Lepisosteus oculatus: one gene and its partner. The protein of the gene in region 1 interacts with the protein of each later gene in a biochemical or structural test. Links are inferred from orthologs where the notes say so. Each region holds a gene or a part of one and is shown on either strand. Other genes may lie near its edges.

What was found.
Region 2: the proteins of nuclear receptor subfamily 0 group B member 2 (region 1) and esrrga form a complex in vitro, tested with the Homo sapiens proteins (2 studies listed by BioGRID). The link is inferred for Lepisosteus oculatus from reciprocal best matches to the Homo sapiens genes NR0B2 and ESRRG.

Annotation. Positions count from the first base shown.
Region 1 is NC_090706.1:7,321,139-7,328,800, forward strand, and holds nuclear receptor subfamily 0 group B member 2, read left to right. Parts: upstream 1-3,315; 5' UTR 3,316-3,805; coding exon 3,806-4,364; intron 4,365-5,276; coding exon 5,277-5,518; 3' UTR 5,519-5,989; downstream 5,990-7,662. UniProt on the Homo sapiens protein: Transcriptional regulator that acts as a negative regulator of receptor-dependent signaling pathways. Specifically inhibits transactivation of the nuclear receptor with which it interacts.
Region 2 is NC_090697.1:62,011,179-62,018,840, forward strand, and holds the start of esrrga (estrogen-related receptor gamma a), read right to left. Parts: upstream 3,899-7,662; 5' UTR 3,740-3,898; coding exon 3,684-3,739; exon of another isoform or gene 3,680-3,683; intron 1-3,679. UniProt on the Homo sapiens protein: Orphan receptor that acts as a transcription activator in the absence of bound ligand. Binds specifically to an estrogen response element and activates reporter genes controlled by estrogen response elements.

The sequences.
Region 1 (7,662 bases):
GTCCTAAAAAATATTCATGGGAGAGGCATAATATATAGAGTATAGCTTGTTGTGGGACTGTAATTTAGCGATTCGATGATCTAGATGAAAGGAGGCTTGTCCTGTGAAGTTTGCAGTGCTGATGTTTTCAGTGCATTGTCCTGGCACTACTTACCAGTCAGCTGACAGTGAGACAGACCTGTTTATTCCGACGGTATGTTGCACAGTTAATCCAGTCAGTGTGCAGAGTCCTGTGATAACCTGGATGTCACTTGGTAAACAGGTCTGTGTGCTTTCTGCACTGAGGTTGGCTTCATTGATTTCTCCCACCTGTTTTGTATGAAGCACTGGTCAAAGTCCATGCTATATTTAGCACAAATCAGGCAGGCTTAAAGTTAGAAAGCATTCTGTTCAATTGCCTGCTTTCCACCAATGGACATTTGTGATATGTGCCTCCTAAAACTTCTTAATGTACCTGATAACATAGCCACATTAGCTTAAAATTATTATTCTAGGTAAAGGCATAAATAGAGTCACTACATCAGCAATAATATACTCACATTGAGTTAATAGAACTACCAAATAACTTCATATTTAATAAAATATAGAAAACAATTTTATGACAAGAGCCTCTCGTCTCCATCCAAGATGACTACTTCCCTATGCAGTAGCTGATTTTGTCACATATTGATATTCAATCCATTAATCTTCAAGATATCAGAGACGTATGCAACAAAAAACAATGGACCTAATGGTAAGCTACTGTGATGCATTCTGTAGTTGCCCACTTCATATTCTACTGTAAATGTACAGGTGTTTTTTCTTGATGACATGTTAGTTTATTCTGTCTTGGTAAAAGAAAGATATGCTGGTTAAGGTTGGAATGAAATCTTCACCAGATATACTGTACATATTAATAGCTGTAGTATTGGAGAGTTAGTTAATGCTCCTAAAAATAATATCATTGCGTGTGACCAATGTCAGAAAAATAAATGTATTTTTGTTCCCCAAAAGTAAAAAGTGACTCTAAGAAACAATGACCGTGGTAATGAGTTCTTGTGTTTTTTTTAATATGCTGTATTAAAAAATGTGCTGTATTTAATGTGCTGTAGTTGGACAACATCAGGATACAGAGAACAAAGTAATTACAGTAAAATCAATGTACACGAATGTTAGCAAGTGAATTTAAATATCCTTTTTTAAATGTTTTGGTTTTCAGAACAACATATCTGCATTTTCCCAGATGGAATGGAACACTGGTGAAAGGCCACTATGTTGCTGCAATTCCTGAGTTTTGTTCCTCCCCAATAAATCAATTGCCTTATCAGGAGAAGAGCTCTGTGCTAGGCACGACTGAGATTAAAAAAGGGATACTTTACTGCTTTGTCTCTGATTCAGAGCCTTCCTTCTGGGATGATGGCTGTTTGCATTAGCTCACTTTTATTGACTATACCATCAGGAAATGGTAATCTGATTATGAATGGCATTCAGTCAGGAGTGCCCAGCAGGAGAATTGGCGCCAGGAGTTGTGCGTTAATCCACAGGTGCAGCATTGTTGGAAAACCAAGGGAGGGGACAAGAGAATAATTCTTTATTTCTGTTGGTCTCACTCTTCACCAACTGAACCTCCTAAAACGTTCCGAAGACAGCAATGATTTTATGCCCAAAATGTGCATAATGTAATTGCATTAATAACTATGCTGAAAAGAGAAGAAAGAAAACACAACGTTTCGGCTGTGGAGCCTTCTTCGAGTGTCACACCCAAGTGAGGCTCCACAGTTGCAACGTTGTGTTTTCTTTCTTCTCTTTTCAGCGTGGAATAAACCTATCACTTGTTCCTTTGCAGCCTACGCATGGTGACGCAGCTGCCCACCTGAACTACTTCAATAACTGCTTCACACTCAACCTTGATGCAGTTTTTTTAATGGAGTTTTCATTTTTAAAATACAAAAGAAAAAGAATATACAAAAAGAAAGAAAGATCCCACACTAAGAGAAAATAGTAAGCAGGCCAATGTGCCATGTTTTTCAGACAAGAAAAATCATCTGAACGTGCTGTCTTAGTTCTTCAATTAGAAACAAGTAATCTGGCTGTAATCTAGTAACCTTACAGTACATCTTACAATAAGCCCGTTTCTCTGAACAAAAATCTAACAGTGGTTCTTTCAAGTGAAACCCATTCACCAAGACGTTTCACACCAAGGAAAATCTAAAATTCAACTGCTATGTAAGAATTGTGCTGTACTTCTCTTTCATTTTGAAAAAGACGCTCCGCTGGTTAGTACATCACACCAGTCAAGTGTGATTATTAATACAACACTCCTTAAAACTCCTTAGTGTATAAAGGTACGAGTTTTTAGAAAAACAAATTGCTTGGACTAGTTGAAACAGAATAATTCACCATTTATGAGTGTCAAAAAAGAAAATGTGAGGTCTCAGACTCAGTCAAGGGAAATGATGACGCAACCTTAATTTCTGCTGATTAGTTAAGCAGTTGAAAAATACAAATGACCTTCAGTTCAGTGTCTATTCCTGACCCAGATATAATATCTGCAAAATACAAGTCTATTAGTAATCAATGCCCTTTGTGGTTTGTATACTGGACTGCCTATACCAAGGTTCTGAACAGTTTATTTCACACATATATTGTACTGAATGTGTTGATATATGCTGTTCACAGAATGACTTGCATTGAACAGGGATGGAGGTACAAGCTTATTTTAAATTTAACAAGATGAATAAAAATAATGTATTTTATCAGATTAAAACGGGGGAGTTGTCAGTACCGAATATTATATAGTATAGCATTATTATTAACCTAATATAATTATTCTCATAACAAACTATATTTAGAATTTTCACTTCAGAATTTCCTGTTTTTCCTACAAAACACGTCGTTTGGTGTTCTATTATACAATTATAAATCCTTATAAATTTCTTACATGTTGTTAAGCTTTCAGAAGTAATCCATCTATCCATTTCAGGGTGATTCTTTTTCCTATTGATTTTTCTGTACATCACGAATATCTTGCATTTTCAACAGTATCACTTATGCATTGTAGCTCTTCAAAACGTCTACCTATCCCCTTGGGTTGAAGTCAATGGATGTGACGTCTCCTATTCTTGAAACCAAAATCTCTATCGCTCCGTATTTTATACTCGGAGGAAAACAGTTCCAGTTTTAAGTTCGTATTCAGCACCTTTTAAGGTTGCCGAAAAGGGTTTGAAATGAATAATTTCGCATCTGCGAGAGGCGATATACTACTCAAGGACGCATCAGACAGCTCTTTACATGCATAATATCTTAACTGTTTGTACTGGCTGGCTTCCAGCTCATTAGGTGTTAGCTGGCAGCGATAGTGGCCATATACTGTCTGCTTGATTACTCCCACAGTCCTTGGTAGCTTGGTACAGGCTGGGTTAATGGCTGAAGTAAATAAGATAAGTGACCTACTCCCAACCACCCCAACGTCGCCTTGTACCATCAACCCGCCGATCTTCATTGAGAAAACCTTATCTTCTCCACGTGGAGCGAACCTACCTGAGCCAAGCAGTCCAGGGTCATGTTGTTTTTCAGTGAGCAAATGTTATTCAGCTAGGGTCAAGGCTGGCTTGCTGTACCTTAGGGGGAAGCCTCTATAAATAGGTCTGGGACAGCAGAGCTGGAGACAGGCGTACGCACGGCGGACAGAGCTTTTCTGATCCAAAGCATTTAAGTAGCTGCGCGGCCAAGTGGTACAGCGCGCAAGGGCGATTTACAGGCTACCTGCGCGTTCACCGTACCAAATTCTTTTAAGCCTCGTTTAGTTGAAAAGATTAAGTAAACGATGTCTTGCCTCGAAGAGCCCAGCGACAGATGCCAGTGTTCCGGCTTCAGTGTTCGGCAGTCCAACGCCATCCTTTACAATATTCTGAGCCGCAAGGACAGCGACCACCTCGCCCACAGCTACATCACGTCTCCGCACAGCTGCCACTGCGAGATGCGGCGGACTGTTGGCCTCAAGAACCCGGACGAGACGTGCCAGGTAGCTTCCGGCGTGCTGGTCAAAACGATCCACTTCATGAAGAACCTGCCTTCCTTCTACCAGCTCCCACTCAAGGACCAGCTGGCTCTGCTGCAGAGCGGCTGGGCGCCGCTGTTCATCCTGGGGCTGGCGCAGGAAGGGGTGGCCTTCGACGTGACGGACACGCCGGCCGCCAGTTTGCTGAAGAGAATCCTGCTCAAGGACCAGGACCAGGACCAAACCCGGCTGGAGCACTCGGACAGGGCGCAGCCCACGCTGGACGCCGTACAGAAGCTGAAGTCTTGCGTCAATAAGTTCTGGAGCCTGGATATGAGTCCAAAAGAATACGCCTATTTGAAAGGAGCGATTCTTTTTAACCCCGGTAAGTATACTAGCGAATTATTATCACCGTGCTTATTGATCTTCTTGTACCAACGGGTTAAATAAAGTAATAAGTGTCAATTCCCGAATAGTTTTCTCACATAATTGTTGGTAGATGGATTAGTTAGTAAGGAATCCACACTAAGTATTTTAATTGGAATGTATGAGTGGATGAATGTCCTGCTTATTAATGTCTTTTAACGGACAAAATAGCTTGTTGACATGGCTTAAGAAAAGGCTGTTTCGAAAATTACACATTGATGGACATTGGCCCAAAGTTTCATCCTTCGTTTACTACTATAAATCTTCTGCCCAAAAGAGTCCCATTTCCCCCCCCCCAAAAAGGAAATTCTACCTAATTAGGTCTACAAGCCACATTCATTACTTGTCCACTGGGATAAAGTGCAGAATTAGCTAATTTCTCTTGAAGGGGGGAAAGTTAAAATAGGAAATAAAAAATGAGTATGGTAAAGTGGCACAGAATTACTTCGCAAGAATCGGACCAACGCGTTTGAAGTCGTTGTTTCCAAGCTGTCAAAAAGGCCACCGTTTCCTGAACACAATTCGTCAGGCAGCCCCCAGCGGGGAAAGTCTGTTATGAAGGGGTTTGTACCACATTTTCAAACTGCTGACACTGTGGGTATTACAGCACACGTCCGTAACGGGTGTTGGCATCATTTGCCATTACTTGGTCGCAAAAGGATAAACTACACATGTAAACCCTTCTGTTTCATACGTGTAGTAGTTAGGAGAAACACTTAATAGAGTTGATTGGTTTTCCCCCGCTTCGGGAGAGAGATTAGTGCGTTCTCGGTGGTATCTAACCAGCACAGTTTTGCAACCCCATAATTCGAATTAAGGCTGACTGCGTGTAGACGTTTAAAAACGCCTTCAATTCGGTTATTTTTTTCAGATGTCCCGGGCTTGAAAGCGTCTCTGTTCATCGAGAGCATGCAGCAGGAGGCCCAGAGAGCTCTTCGCGAGGTGCTGCTCCCTCTCCACCCGGGAGACCGCGGCCGCTTCGCCCGCATCCTCCTCACCGCCTCCGCGCTCAAGACCATCACGCCGAGCCTCATCACCGAGCTCTTTTTCAGACCTGTCATCGGCCAGGCGGACCTCTTAGAACTACTCGCCGAAATGCTTTTCGCCAGATAAACGAGGATACAGGAGCTCAGGTTGCTTAAACTCAACAACACCCGTCGCGGAGCCGCTGATTTGAGGGGACAGTGTTACAGAGAGCTTGGTGCACTCTACCTGGGAACACGCACGTCATGTCCTGCTATTAAAACTGTCATGTTATGGTCTAAAACTTGGGCAAAAAGGTCCGCTAAAATCATGCGAAGTGAGCAAAGAGACATTCTCGCCTTGCGAGTTTCAAACGGCGACGATACGCAGAAAATCGTTTGAGAGGAACAGCCTGGCTGTATTACAGAGGGGACTCACTACTCGATCATTTCGGTGTGTGAATTTGGCGTATCTCTCATACGCTGTGCCAAGCTTTCGATGTTATGATTTAGATATAGATCTTTCAGCTGAAAGGGCAAACCTGGTTTTGTTGGCTTAACAGAATCTTCTTGGAGAAAAACGTCACTTTATTGATCCGAATCACTATTTTATGTTTTTTTTTTTAAAAAACTCCTTTAACACGTCCGTAAAAAATCCGTGTGCATGAGTGTATGTGAATAAATTATATATTTTTTAAAAAAAGTTTCTGTAACACGTCATGAAAAACGTGTTTAATAAAAATGTGTTGATACCCCTTTGTCTTTTTATAGCGGCAAAAAAAAAAAAGTGAACACGGCCGATTCAAAAGAGTCGGATTGGAGAACCATACAAAATCTGGACTAAAGCGAAATTTGAATGAGCCCGAAAGAAAAATGCGATGACTTATCTGAACAACCTCTCTCTACCTGTCGAGGAATTCAATTTCCGCCGTGAACGGTCGTTTCGAATAAATCAAGGGTGGTGACGCGATTTCACACCCCGCCGTTCAGTATCCGGAAGGTTTTGGTTCAACAATGCCACCAAAACAGATGATTTTTTTTAGAAATATCGCGGTATAGACTATTTCTGGCGAGTATGATGATTTGTACTGTTGACTTTGAGGGTGATGGGAGAGGCCCATTGCCAGAGACGGCTCTTGGGCAATACCACCGCAACCAAGCAAGGCGCGGGGCTGGGCCCGTAGATACCGGTTCCTTGTGCTTGTCGCCTGGTGACAGGAAGTCCTCTGCCCCGGTGTTCCGCGCAGTAAAGCAGAGGTCAATGACACGCAGGTTAAGGAGCAGGTTCAGGTACGCTCCTTCTCCTCCCTCTGTAAGGCGGGCGTTTGTGTGCGATTCCTTGCCGTCACCGTCGGAGCTCCAAGTGCGGGGGGTTTGGGGGAGAAAAACAGAATGTAGAGCGGGATTTGAGCTGGGGAAAGACTTCTCCATCTCTTAGATAACATTCATCTGTCATGCGGTGTATCTGGGCAGCAAAGGAAGAAGTAAAAAGTTGAAAGACGAAACGCGGCGTTTGGGCTGTCGAGAATTCTTCAGGTGTGTGCGTGTGCGGGAGAGAGTTTTTAGAAATATGCGGGGAATTAAGTTTGACTCGTTCCCTCTGTAGCGTACACACGCTGACGCCACTGCCCATCGGCCCATCTGAGCAAAAAAAAAATACGTTACAGGGCCAGCGTAATTAATACATGATGGGCTACGTCAGTGAAACAAGGTTTTATTACCTCCAATAAAAACGATACATTGCTAAGATCCGAGAGTCCAAGTAAACAACGGTAACCTTCCCCCGGACAGACAGGGCGGCGGTTCAATATGCGCTGCTCTCCCTTAAATCGTCATCAAATAACAATAAACCAATTTACACTTCAGTGCTACAGTAATATAGGCAGTTTTTTTTTTATCAGTGCTCGATGCTGAATGCTCGATTCATACATGCATTTATAAGACCAAGGCTTGATTTCTGCAGCTCTTTACTCTATGGGCTCCCTCACACTCTCCTCAGTCAATTCCAATGTGTCCAACACCCTACAGCTGGACTTGTAACCCACACCAGACCCTGGCAGCACGTCACTCCTACACGTGAGTCTCTACAGGGGTTGCCAGTAAAGTCACGTATTCAATATAAGATCTGGTTAGTGACCCTTAAAGCTCTTAATAACCCGCCTCCCTCCCATGTCTCTGAACTGCTCCATGTTTACACGCTCTCCTGTAGGATCGTCAGCTGAGGCCCGTCCTTTGATCACTGGATCGGGGACTAAATCTCGGACTTATGGTGACCGTGCTCTTCCACCGCCTCTT
Region 2 (7,662 bases), on another chromosome or scaffold:
TAATAGTATAACAAGCTGTACTTGCATTGGAGTTATATATATGAATGTAATTTACTGAAGTGATTTACTAATTATTCCAGTAACTAAAAACCTAATTTGTACTTTCCTTACTTGCAACTTGTTTTCCTAACTATTCTGACATTCCAAAGGAACTGTCCTTAAACAGACAACATTCCTTTAATTCTGAACAATAGAGGAGGAAGTGCAGGTTAGAAAGTGAAAGCAGATCTTATTTCACTTAAAGGTGAGGAATAAAACAGTAGCAAGTCTCCCTTTCACATGTACCAATTCTGTCACCACTCCAATATGGTACGGCATAATTACTGCATGTGCTCCTTCATTTATGGCACAGACATCTCATCTGGGCAATTTATTTTGTACTGTTTTTTTAAAAAGTTGTCCTAAAATCAGATATATGTGTGAATACCCAATGGTAATAGATTAAATATAAATCTTTTACACTGACAGCCAGGTCATTTTTTTTAAAGCGGTTGGGGGGAGTGTAGTTATTGCACCTCCTAAACAAAAGGAGAAAAATACAGCCTACCACCAGGATGACTGGCTACTCACAAGGGTTTTTGCTTTTAACTCTGGTTAATTACCCTTGGAATGCTCCAGACTCCTTGGAATAAGGGGAAGTGGCAACACACATTCAAATAAGCAGGACGCAATAAAGACAATGAACAGTCAGACAGCAGTCTGATGAAGGCAGTGAGCTAGACATTTTACAACGGGGAAATGCATCGGTCAAAATACAGTATTTAAGGTATACGCACCGTAAGACAGCAAGTGTGAGAAGACTGATTTTAACATTATAAATGAGGTAGATTAATTTTAACATAATTTAAGAGGTATTACTATTATTAAACAAATGATTTTATTAGCAGTGAAGGAACTGAATCAGACGATTATGCTTTACTTGCTAATTCTCACTCTCCAGCAAAGGAAAAAATAAATGCATACTTTCTTTTCAGGAAAAGTTTAAGTGAAAGGCTATCAAGACCTTTCCTTAGCTACAGAGGCATGACACGAGAAATAATGTTTAATTATTAGAGGGGAATTATCTGTGTGGCTGAAAATGATGAATCTTTTTCAAACAGCACCAAGTGTTTCAATACGCTAACAAAACATAGATGCTATCTATTTGGATTATATAATTGATTATAACATAACAATGAGGAATAGGTTTGTTCTACCTTTATTTAGCTATTTTTTTTCTTTCCACTGCATTTTTAAATTAAATAGTATATTCTGGATTGGACAGACAGACTCCACATGTTTATGCTTTCAAATGATATTTTTGTTTGAAATAAACGTTGTAGGTAAATTTTATAATATTGTAGAAAATTTACAAAATATGAAAAAAAAACAATTAATAAGGATTTATCATGTTACTTACATGATTTTAAAGTAATATAACAACCCTAAAATACACTGCTGCTATTTCCACCATACGTTATATATATTTTTTGTACAGCAATTCAATTTTGTAAAGGCTATATTTAGATTTAATGTTTCTATATATTCCATGCATTTAAACAAAAACAGTAATTATAATCTTATCATAAATATTGCAAACTAAGAATTAATATTAAAATAAATCGACATTTTACAGTAAATGTAGCAATCATTGTTGAAATCATTTGAACTTGGTGACAAAATGTAAAATTTTAGCAAAAATGTGCATTTTAATGTTATCTCACATTTGTTCTAAATTACAGAAATTAAGTCTGCATAATTATTTATATAATTATTGAAATGGAAAACCTCAACCTTAAAAAATGAATTTACACTTGTACATAAATACAGGATGGCTTTCCACATATGAACCCCATTCTACGTTAATTCTTATGTTTGTGCTAATCTGAATAAAGTGGTGAACAATAAAAGTTTCATAAAAAAACAAATCTCAGGAAAGAAGTGCAATAATTACATTATTATTCAATGTATATATCATATATCAATGTATCCCAATATATCCATATATTATTGAACTTAACACTAATTATTATACATTACTATATTATTATACATTGATTTACTTCAAAAATAAGAAGTAGTGAGAAGACATTAAATCTTAGATCATAAAAAAGGTATAGGTACAAATTCAATATAAAAGCATATACATCAAGAAGCTTATGAAGACCAAACATGTAAATTAGCCATAAGAAGGTAAAATCAGAAAAAGAGCTTAATAATAAAAAAGAAAATGGGAAAACAGAACTTATTAGATTAATCAATGCATTTTCTATAAATGCATATTTATTTTTCAATGCTGGTGTTATCTTAAGTGTATCCATAGATGTAGCATTTTAATTCCTAAAGACCTAAAGAATGAGAAGTCAGACAGAGGACAATTATTCTACTGAGAAGCTAGAATAATGTAGTAATGAATACAATCACATTTTTGAAAGTTACACATTAAAGCTAGTGTTTATTTTACAGTTCTGAAAGTGCTTCAAGTGCACCTCAATATCTAATGTTAATTGCCTTAATCTAACTGTCTAAAAGACTGGGATAAAGCTGGTAGGACTTTATGGCAGCATACCTGTAACACAGCAGTTCCGGCACACTTTATTTCTTTCTAATCTCTAAATGGACTAAGGGTGGAACAATACTTTTATGGTCTTATCGGTGTTTTAATGTAACTAAGGGCAGGGGTTAATAGTCTTGGTGTTTCTTTTCTTAAAGAGAGACCAATGTTATGTTTCCAGTGTGTGTTTTTAAGATATCAGGTTTATATGAACCCATGACAGTTTGCAAACATCTAGGCAATTGCAAGCACACCCAGCAGTGTCAGTCAGACTTATCCATATTAGCTGTTTGTTGTTTATTTGTCAATTCTTTGAGCACAAACGCGATTATTATTTCAATTCACTTAATGCTGCAAATACAGCTGTTGAATGAAAACAATTACAAGTGGCTGACACCTATGATAAAAAATGTATACAAGTAAATGCAAAGTTTATGATTTTTTTCCATTAAACACAAAATAAGCATCAAACAAGTAATTAAAATTGAAATTGTATCAATCTGACAAAAACAAAATACATTTACTTTGGAAAACCTAGTTTCTCTATATGAACTATGCAGGCTCGATTCAGCACCTGCCCCCCCCCCCCCCCCCTGCCCCCCACCAACATACACCATAACCCCATAGCTCTCAATAATGTAAATATGTGGCACTGTTAATAGCTGAACCAGGCCACACTGTAAGCAGCTTGTCTGTGAAATTCAAGCTTTTTATGGTATTGGAGTATACCTTTTTTTCTAAGTGCTCTCTCTTTTAAAAAATCTCAAGGACATGGTATCAATAAAAATTAATAACAGATAAAACACAGAGTATAAATTAAGTTGAAAAAATATTTGCCTTTTATAGAAATCTGTGAGGTTTAAATGGTAAAAAGAATGTGCTCACTTTTTCTTCCAGAGGTACAAGGCAATGCTACTGTTTCAGTACTTTGCCTGACAGGTAGCTGTGCTATGTATTGAGCAGTAAGTACACACTACAGGGAAGCACATTGTCAGTCAACAACACAAGACAGACAGATATAGCTCACAACACAACACAGAAAACAAAAGTACACATGCAACAGCAAGAATTTAAGACAAACAAAACTGTCTATAGGTAAAACATTAGGCATAATTTCCAAAGAGAAGAATAAAAATCAAAATGTACCTACTCTTCTTCGGAGTGCAGGGAAAAACACTCTGGCAGGCAAAGTTCTACCGAATCCATGTGCGCTCTGCAACCATAATTTGAGCAAACCCCCTCTATAAATCAAAGTTTTTCCTGACAGAGCAGTGCAATTAACAGAAATGTTCTCCTGGTGACAAGCCTATAGGCACAGCCAGTTGGGACCAAAAGCTCTCGCACTCTTCTAATCAAGGACTTAAAGCCACGATTGGAGCTCATTAATATGAAGTAAAGCTTTGCATATGTAGTCCCTCTGGCCCATCCAGACGCCAGATTGGTGGCTTCCTAGCCAATTGGAACTGGACAGGGCACTGCCTGCACATACTGAGGGGAACTGAGCAGGTGGAGTGGGTGGAGAGAGACAAAGAGAGAGAGTGTGCCTGAGAGAGAGAGACAAGACAGAGAGATGGAACAGGGTGAGAGAAAGAAAGGGGGGCTTTAAAGAACCAGCACATTCTCTTTTTTAAGACAATGCTTATCAGTTCAAGGTGTCAAGCTTAGAGATTAAACCTTTCAGACTTTGACAAACACAAACCATTGTGAATGAGAAATATGATGCATGATGAACATCATTTGTGTATGTCTGAGTGTGCACGTGTTTAATATACATGAATAAATACAAACATATCAACATTGATAAGGAAAGAAAAAAATATAAACTCTTGCTAATTACCAGTTGTGGTGTAGGGGGCTATGAGCACTAAAAAACAACTTTTGTATCAGAGCTTTGTGGCCACATAATCTGTTGAAAAAAAAACTATGGGTTTTAAGGCCTCAGTTAAATTTCCAGATTAGACTGACTTTTGATTGAAATACAAAATAGGACCAGTTAGCAGTAAAAAAAGGGAAAAAAACGACTTAATTAAAGCAATGTAACCGTCCACTGTAAAGTTTAATTAAGGCATTCACAACATGGAAGACAGTAAATTGGTAAAACTAATTTAATGCCAATGAATGCTGGCTTCTAGGTTTAAGCGAAGAAGCTAATTAACTTACCCAAGCTGTACAACAAAGTCAAACTCAAGCCAGTTTGTCTTTTGGTATTAGAATTAAAACCAAAGAACCTCTGACTAACACAACCAAGTAACTGTTATCAGGGGTTCATATTTGCTCTGTTTCCTAAAACAAAACAATAGGAATTATACATAGAAAAAAAACCTTAACAAAATAAAACTAAGTCAGACCTCGTTCTTTGTTATTAAACCCTTCCTGCACATATTTTCTGTGCTCTCTTGATATTTTTTGTCTCAGACAACCGCTGAATTTCCACAACCAGCAGGGAATATATTGCTGCTTTCTCAGAGGACTTCTATTCCCTACTGATCAGAAAATTCAGGAGCTACACCAGTCTGCTAACTATTGTATCTCACAACCGTGTCCGAATGGGAAATTGTCTCTACATTTTATCTTTATACTACAAGGGATTTGAATCCCATCCTCCTGGAACAAGTAAAGATATTTCGCTTTTTGCAATAACCTACATGTCCCATCTCCTACCTTTATTTTGAATTCCTAAACATAAAATGAATTCTCATGCATCCTTAACTGCCATTAGGATATACTATTGGGCAATTCAAACACTGTGATTCAAAAACACAATCTCCAACAGTTCAGCTAATTTCTAAGGGCTATAATTTTGCTTCTGAAATTAATTGCTAGTAAGAATTTATAGCTACACCCCATGCTGAATTTGCAGATAAACAAAAGACTACAGGCATTTTGAGCTGGCAAAACAAAAAAAGAAAAGGGGTTTGAGTGCTGAAGTTAAACAATTTAATAATAATAAATACTGTTGTTGTTAATAATTATGAATCTGTCTGTAACTTCATATTATTTGATTACTTGTATTTAACACACACTCTGTCTTGTGTTCTTAGGAATGCAGATGTCTGTGTTGTGAATCAGATTTTAAAGATGCATTTTTACCCTCTAAAGCTGCAGTTCATTTCAAACAGGGCAGATGTGAGCCATATTTAGACATAAACCATAATGTTCACAATAAGAAATAAATACAAAAAATAATATCATCTCTGTTTAATTACAAAAGTAGCTTGGTGTAAAAAATAATGAATAATAACATATTACTATTACTACAGTATATTCATCTGAATTCCTAAACTTGTCAAATTAAATGTAATTGATATTTAATTAATATTTATCAGAGATTGTGTAAAATATGGTCAAGTAAATAAATGCCATAACTAAAACTATAATTTTGAAATAAAGAGATGTGAGGAGAAAGGGGAGGATAAGTTTGAGTATTCACTTACAGTACTAAAGTGTTTTCACTGTTCTCTAGACCACTACAATGAATTCAGCAGGACAGTAGTGCCATCGGAGCTGTAATTGTCTTTATGGATTTCATGCACAATGAATCATTGTGGGTTCCCAATCTACATTTCAACACTGTTCAGTTTTCTGCAATACATCTACTTAATTTTGCTTCTATACGTTTACATAAATAAGTCCATATAGTTTAAATTTCATACTTGTGTACAGTACTGTATATGCACCAAAAATAATCTTTTAATGCTTTGACACAATCTTTACACAATATGAAGAAAACATCAATAATACCACACAGAACCAGGCTACCTTCAGCTCAACCAACTCTTTACAGAAACATTAAACAACACCAAACTTATGTACATATCATATTGCACTTAGCACATAAATATACCCACATGTTTATATATGTTTCTTGCTATATTATACATTTCTTCTGCATCTCATCAGAAAATATAATGGAATGCCATGATGTACATCTTATAACCAATTATAAAAAGAGTCATTTTCACCATACAAATGTGCACATACTGTATTTGCCATTAGGTATTATTTCTGAAAACCACAGGGTCTGTGCCGTGAAAGGGACATTTGCTAAATAAGTGTTATGAAATGAGCATTGATTTAAGTTGTGAAAAATTAGAATAATTCTGACAGATTACTGTTACTGTAGATGCAGCATTTAGATCCTTTATTTAATGTTTTTTCAATCTTTCTTGAAAAATATTTTATATCTGGTAATGTGCAAAATAAGGATTATGAAGGAAGGTGTTTTTTTCCTAACATATCATGAAATCACCTCCTTTGTATCTTCTAGTTGCAAGCATTGATTACCTTTGTAAGATGTCTTTTTAATTTTTTTTTTCTGTACACGAATCATGTCTCACATCCTCCTCTGTGAGAAATGCAAGTAGGTCCACTAAGTTAAAATGGATTTATGAAGAATTTTTAAAAAGACTACTAATTTAAAAAAAAAAACTGTGGTTAAAATTGCAATAGCTAAGCACATCAGACAAATAGAAGACATAGTCTAAGGGATGCATTCAGCATTATTCATCTGCTTTAAAACCTGGTACTTTTAATAGCTGTGACTGAAAGCAGAAATAGATAAAGAGCTACAAATCTTAGATAAAGACATCTACTTTAATTATATTTAATGTTTTTTTTATTTTTCTGAAGCTATAAATTTAATTCAGATTTCACAATGTTGTTGTTTTTTTCTCAGATCAATATTGACGGGACCCGTTTTGAGAGTAAGCTTGGAGATGGAAGAAACAAAATTGTCAAGAAAAAAGGGTATCTCTAGAAAACACTTATTTGAAGCAAAACACACCTTCTCAGCTCTTTTAAGTTAGATACATTACTGAATTTAGCACTGTGTTATAAAAGGTACCACAAATGTTCACAAAAAAGGTGTAAACTGTAATAGGACAAATAATTGGACTTGAGAAAGCTCTCAAAAAGGTTGACCTAACAGTGGAATACAAGAGAGAGGAGTACTGTATACAGTTCCATGATGGCAGCTCAATACATTAGCATGATTAGGAATGCTTCACAGCAGCTTGAAAGAGGGCTGCCCAAAACTGAACCTTTAGTTGCCATTTTTTATTTACTATTTTGAAGGTCCAGGAACAAAGTCAATATACTGAACAGTACCTATATTGCCCTGAAAATTAGTA